2 linked regions of the Cricetulus griseus genome follow. The protein of the gene in region 1 interacts with the protein of each later gene in a pairwise test. Links are inferred from orthologs where the notes say so. Each region holds a gene or a part of one and is shown in the gene's direction. Other genes may lie near its edges.

Region 1 (3,519 bases):
TACATTGACAAAGCAAGGGTTCCGATTCATCTTTATTTTCCCGCAAGAGTAAAGCACAAATACAAAGCCAAACTTCCTCTAAAGAAATAAAGTGGTATTTTGAACTTTTTAATATTGTTTGAGCTGCATATAACTTTGTCTGCAGTGTATAGAGACACTGCCAGTTGTCATGACAGCATCCAACAGCAAGATACCAACCCAGAGAGTTCTTGCTAGTTTAAGATAAAAACCCACCCACCCTGAGTGCCAGTTTCCATGCCTTAAAGGCTGCCTCATGGTCATGACAACATATCCATACCATCACCATAGTCATAGCCAATTTTAAAATTGGTTGGCCTACTGCTCTATACTATACACACATCCTATTACTCAAAGCAGAATTTACTCAACAAGTATTATAAATCTCAAAGTTGAAGCTGTAATTATTAGATGTGGCACCCTGTTTCTTGTGTCCTATTTCCATACATTGTTTCACCATCTGATGTCCTATTTGTGTTGTGAATCTGGATGTGTGGTTATTAGATTAGTGCTCGCTGTTTTCCTTCACATCACTGTGGCCTCCTTCCTTACAAACTCCTATTTTATAGATCTATGTAAGAGCACAATTTGAATATGATCCAGCCAAGGATGACCTCATCCCCTGCAAAGAAGCTGGCATCCGATTCCGAGTTGGTGATATCATTCAGATTATTAGTAAGGATGACCACAACTGGTGGCAGGGTAAACTGGAAAACTCCAAAAATGGAACTGCAGGTCTCATTCCTTCTCCTGAACTTCAGGAATGGTATGTTTTTGTTGTTTTATGATGCAACAATTCCCTCCCTTCCAGTTCTCAATTTCATGTTTTGTATTGTAAAACTTGCTTGATAAATCCTTTGCTTTGCTAACTGTACAAAATTCAACTGCCCTCGATCAAAGATCGCATCCTAAAATGAGTTATCTAAGAATTCTCAATGCTCAGCTGCTAGTCAGATACTGGTTCCAGTTAGATCTGCACATGGGTAAGGAAAGGAGGCTCAAAGACAAGCTGAGTGACTAGCCTCAGATCATTAGGGCAGAGCCCTCAACTCCTACAAAGTGTTCTGATCTTTCTAGAATGGCATTTTCGTCCAGACGTGGCTACCTCTTGCCCCTCTGTATTATTTTGTGATCATCCTACAACACCAGGAAGAAAACCTTCAAGTGCCATGACTCAGTGTCACTTGGGGTATTTAAAGACCTGTTCCACCGTTGGGAGAAAGGACAATCAGAAGCTTTGTTCTTTGCCTTACCATTCTTTAAGAATGGTCTTTCCGGCTCAGAAGTAGATGCTTGCCTGGCATGCCCTGGGTTCCATCCACAGAACAAGAGACAGAGAGGGGGAAAGATGACCTATTCTGTTAGAAAGCCGAACTTGTGAACTTGTGAAACAGGCTGAAGTCAGACAGGCATTTCAGACACTGTTTTTAACTGAGAGAAGAGAGTGTGTGTATCATCTATTAAATGTCCGTAATCTTACCCTCTTAAGTATTTGGCCAATATCTACCAGAAATCTAATACCAAAAAAGATAATTTAATGCCTGGGTTTTGTTTTTTGTAACTGTTGTAATTTTTTAAAAAGTGGCACATGAGAGAAAGATGCCATGCAACAGAGCTTGGGTGAAGGGGATTTTTTTATTGGGGGAAAGTGAATGGGAAAGGGGGAAAGGGAGAAGGGAGACAGCCTCTGGGGACAGGAGCAGCAGGAGAGAGGTGGGAGCGAAGGAGGGACAGAGAAGCAGAGAGAGACAGAGATGGGAGGTGGACAGGGCCCTTTTAAAAGGGAATGTAGTGAATGTGCACAGGAGGTGCTCTTAGTGGCTGCAGCTGAAGGTGTCTCCTATCAAAACCCCAAGGGCAGGCCAGTACAGATGACTGAATACTAACAGTAACAAAACATAACCTGTCAAAAGCTGGACTTCTGCCACACCCTAACCCGTACCCCCCCACACACACACAAATACTTGAACTTATTTAAAAATAATCAAAATATCAAGCCCATAAATATCTGCTTTTTCACCAGTCCTTCTCACTAAGAGATTTCTTGGTTAATCTCTTTGCCTTAATTACCTCTTTCAACTATCTCATGTTTCCCAAAACTATTATTGAATTTAGAAAGTCGATGAGGACTTCAGGTGTCATCATGTTACACATGGAGAAACAGCAGCAAGCCATTTGGCATTGCCTTTAAATCTGATCTGCAGACAGTTTAGCAGAAGCAGAAGGAAAGCAATTTCTAAGTCATCTTGTTGTTGTTGTTGTTGCTGCTGCTGCTGCTGCTAGGAATGCTCCATTTCACAAAATGTCTCTAGAGAGCTGTCATATATTATGAGTATTCATTCAGAATACTCAAGTGTGGGATGGGGATGTAGTAGCTCAAGTGGTGAAGCCCTGGGTTTGATCCCCTGCACAGAGAAAAGCAGGTGTGGTGGTGCAGGCCTATAATCCAGCATTTGGGATGCTTAGATGGGATGATCGGAAGCTCAAGGTCATCTTTAGTTACATAGAGTATCTGAGGCCATCCTGGGATACAGGAGACTGTAGTGGAAACAAATTTTAGGGAAGAAAAACAATAATTATGTAGATTCCAGGCTTCCTCCTACTTAGAGCAGCTATATAAATTATGAGCTCTTAGTCCTGTGCAGCAATCTAGAGAAACTGCAGTGGAAAAAGATGGTTTGCTTCTCGGCTATGCTGAGGTCTAGGCTCTTCAGATCAGTCTTCTTGCTGCACAGGAAAAAATGCTGCAAAAAAAAATGAAGGGGTGTTTTGTTTTGTTTTAATGAGCTTGAAAGCACTGAATAGCTGAAAGGGTACTGGGAAACTCAGCAACCAGTTGTTCTATAAGATCCTTTCATCAGAGCCATAAGATGGAGTACTCCATCTTACCAAGAAAGCATTTGCTATTATGCCAGAGAACCAAGAGTACGCCATAGGCTTAACAAAGATAGAATCTGTCAGGCACCCTTCCTCACATTGGGAAAAACAATTCAGTCAGTCAGGTATTGTGGTACCTATCTGAATTCCCATATAGTGTGAACTAAAGATGAAAATTTCCAGGAGTTCAAGGTTAACCTAGTTTACATAGTGAAGTCCAACCAGCCTGGGCTACAAAGACCTTCTTTCATAATGGAAAAAAAATTAGACTCTCCTGAAAATACAGGATTAATAACTGGTTTTTAATTTATTGAAACAAGGCTGGAGATGTAGCTCAGTGGTAAAATGCTTGCCTAGCAAGGCTGGAGATATAGCTTAGTGATTGAATGCTTGCCTAGTGTGTGGCCTTAGCAGGGAGTTTTGAACTGGGAGTGGTGGCTCATGCCTGTAATCTCAGAATTTGGGAAGGTGGAGACAAGAGGATCAGTTCAAAGCCAACCTTTTTTTCATAGTGACTTTGAGGCCAGCCTGGGCTACATGAAGTCTTGTTTAAGAACAAGAAAAAATGTCAGTAGTGCACATTTGCAATCCTAGCACTGGGAGGTGCAGGCAAGAGCATCCGGA
Region 2 (3,519 bases), on another chromosome or scaffold:
TCTTTTTCTCTCCCTCTGGATTATGTAAACATTACACACATACACACACAAGCGCGCGCGCGCGCGCGCACACACACACACACACACACACACACACACACACACACACACACACACACACGAGTTCAGTAAGATTGCTTTGACACCACTTCCACTCTGTCTCCCCAGATCAACGCTTCTAGCGAACCCATTTGCACGGGGGATTCAGCCCTCTTTCCTGGCGAGGCTTATGAACCTGTCACCAAGCCAGTGCCTCCGAAAGGAGGAAGTGCGGTGGGACTCGAAGGATACATGGCGCCCGCCCCCAGCTAGCTGCTCTTCAGATGATCTGCAACCAAGTTGGCTGATAAAATATTTAGTAACGACCCAGTAAACATGACTGCAAATACATTAAAGCACTTCAGCGCGAGGCTTATGATTATTTCAAAACTTAAAAAGGAGATCATAGATTGTCACTGTTTCTGTACCCCAGCCGGAAACCGAACCTTCCCGAGGTGGGTTGATGGGTGGGTGAGCTGCTTCGCCTCCTCTTCTCCTCTCTCCAGCATAACGCCGAGGCTTTCGGCGGCGGTTTGTTTATTTATTTATTTTAGTCGTGTAGTTTAAAGGTGGGGGAGGGGGCGTCAAGGACACGCAGTACCTACTCACAAAGCAGGCTCAGGTGTGTGAGCTATTGTGTATTAACTGGAAAAGACAGACTCTGGAAGTTTTACAGGGAGAGAAGAGGCCACCGGCTCGCGCTTTGTATACTTTGCACTTGAAATCGTTACATTCAACTGAATATTTGGCTCATTCAGATCCGAAAAGTCTCCTAGCATCATCGAATTCCCTCCTCCGCCCCTCCTCTCTAAAGAGAGAAGGGGGGTAAAAATGTTTAGTAAATTGCACATCTTTGAATCTTCCTAAAGCAGTGGTCACAAAGCTTAAAGGTGACATAACAGAGCTCACGTAAACCAACACACTTTCCCCACCCCCCAAGCCAACAATAAAATCATCCCCTTCAATTTGCCATGATCGTCGCGACCAGGAGCCAGGTGATTATCCTAATTAATGTCTATCTAATTAAATTACTGTCAGCAGCTAACCAATGGCAGGAGCCGTTTCATCGGCTGCATAAGCAGCAAGATCAAAAGTGAGCCTTTTCTGATTGCTGCATAGTGTCAATTGGCCAATCTCTTCTCCCAGGGAAAAAAAAAAAGTAAATCAAACCTTTGAGAAGCATTTGCTGGTTGAAGTGCTTTCTGTCTAGTGAGGGGTCTGTGGATTCCTAGTTTATGATAAACAGGACTTTAAAAACCAGGGACGGGAGGGCGAGCGTTCAGGTTCTAGAGCTATGCAGCTGGAGCACTGCCTCTCTCCTTCTATCATGCTCTCCAAGAAATTTCTCAATGTGAGCAGCAGCTACCCACATTCGGGCGGATCTGAGCTTGTCTTGCACGATCATCCCATTATCTCGACCACTGACAACCTGGAGAGAAGTTCACCTTTGAAAAAAATTACCAGGGGGATGACGAATCAGTCAGATACAGACAATTTTCCTGACTCCAAGGACTCACCAGGGGACGTCCAGAGAAGTAAACTCTCTCCTGTCTTGGACGGGGTCTCTGAGCTTCGTCACAGTTTCGATGGCTCTGCTGCAGATCGTTACCTCCTCTCTCAGTCCAGCCAGCCACAGTCTGCGGCCACTGCTCCCAGTGCCATGTTCCCGTACCCCGGCCAGCACGGACCGGCGCATCCCGCCTTCTCCATCGGCAGCCCCAGTCGCTACATGGCCCACCACCCGGTTATCACCAACGGAGCTTACAACAGCCTGCTGTCCAACTCCTCGCCGCAGGGCTACCCCACGGCCGGCTACCCCTACCCGCAGCAGTACGGCCACTCCTACCAAGGAGCTCCGTTCTACCAGTTCTCCTCCACACAGCCCGGGTTGGTGCCCGGCAAGGCGCAGGTATACCTGTGCAACAGGCCACTTTGGCTGAAATTTCATCGGCATCAAACGGAGATGATCATCACTAAACAGGGAAGGTAATGCTACTTTCTTGGCTGCCGCCGTTTCAGGCGTGACCCTGAGCGAGCGCACCCAAGTTGTGACCGCCAGGCAGCGACGATGTGGGGTCGGGGAGTGAAAAGGCGCTCGGGTGTGCCCTGGAGTTGGCTGGTTTTGGAAAAGGGGAAAGTGGAAGGGATAATAACCACCGTGGTGATGTTGGTGGCGGGGAGTCTGCTGTACCACTGCGGTCGGTCGGAGAGTCAGTCAGTGACTGGAGCAAGATGAAGAGCCGTGGCCGGCCGCTGCCAGGCGTTAGAACAACTCATCAAAGCTGGCCTGTGCCGACAGGTGGAGAAGCAGGTCGCCAACCCCGCTCTTCACCCTCGCACTGATACCTGCCAGCCCCCTACTGCAGAGCACTCGCTGCTGCCTCCCCGACTTTGGCCTTATGTCTTCCCCTCTCCCACTACCCTTTTCCAGATCAGCGAATATTCGTTCAGGCACACTGTGAGGACAAGTTTTGCTTGGCTATCTGGCGCCCCGCTTCTAGCATTTAATTTCTAACATTTATTTTCTTTATTCCTTGTTTTCTCTTCCTTCTTAATTTAAACAGGCGCATGTTTCCCTTTTTGAGTTTTAACATTTCTGGGCTCGATCCCACCGCTCATTACAATATTTTTGTGGATGTGATTTTGGCGGATCCCAATCACTGGAGGTTTCAAGGAGGCAAATGGGTTCCTTGTGGCAAAGCGGACACCAATGTGCAAGGCAAGTCCTTCCAATTAACACGTTTTCTTGACACTTATTTAGGTGAGAATGATTAATTAAAGCCTTTGTGGACTGGCTCGAGCGACTTTAAAAACGATCGGCCAATGACTTCCTAAAGAAGAGAGGGACAGGGGGACAGACTGAGCGGCAAGAAAGGGGAGGATTATGCAAAAGCTATTTTAATCATTCCCAGTTAATGGGAAGAAATCGCGGCTTAAAAAAATAGCCCAGCTAATAGGCCACACTGTGAAGGGGTATGTGTGTGTGTGTGTGTGTGTGTGTGTGTGTGTGTGTGTGTGTGTGTGTGATGTAGTACAGAGTACAGAGTTAGGGCTGGACAGTAAACCTATTTTAATAATCCCCAGTTAATAGAAGAAAGTATGTCCCCCCCCAAAAAAAAACAGCTAATGGACTTCACTGTGTAGTAAGGTGTGTGTGTGTGTGTGTGTGTGTGTGTGTGTGTGTGTGTGTGTGTGTGTGTGTTTCATGTGCTAAGGAGTTGGGACTGGGCAGTGCCCAGAACATATGTAAACAAGCTATTTCTTTATCAAGGAAACCGGGTCTACATGCATCCGGATTCCCCCAACACTGGGGCTCACTGGATGCGGCAAGAAATCTCTTTTGGAAAATTAAAACTAACCAACAACAAGGGAGCATCAAACAACAATGGGCAGGTCAGTCTCTCTCTCTCTCTCTCTCTCTCTCTCTCTCTCTCTCTCTCTCTCTCTCTCTCTCTCTCTCTCTCACACCCTTCTTTAGTT

The links.
Region 2: the proteins of Cask (region 1) and Tbr1 interact in a two-hybrid assay, tested with the Homo sapiens proteins (2 studies listed by BioGRID and IntAct). The link is inferred for Cricetulus griseus from reciprocal best matches to the Homo sapiens genes CASK and TBR1.

The regions. Positions count from the first base shown.
Region 1 is NC_048604.1:119,108,527-119,112,045, reverse strand, and holds part of Cask (peripheral plasma membrane protein CASK), read left to right. Parts: intron 1-587; coding exon 588-784; intron 785-3,519. UniProt on the Homo sapiens protein: Multidomain scaffolding Mg(2+)-independent protein kinase that catalyzes the phosphotransfer from ATP to proteins such as NRXN1, and plays a role in synaptic transmembrane protein anchoring and ion channel trafficking.
Region 2 is NC_048599.1:113,085,188-113,088,706, reverse strand, and holds part of Tbr1 (T-box brain protein 1), read left to right. Parts: 5' UTR 1-1,333; coding exon 1,334-2,025; intron 2,026-2,603; coding exon 2,604-2,758; intron 2,759-3,310; coding exon 3,311-3,432; intron 3,433-3,519. UniProt on the Homo sapiens protein: Transcriptional repressor involved in multiple aspects of cortical development, including neuronal migration, laminar and areal identity, and axonal projection.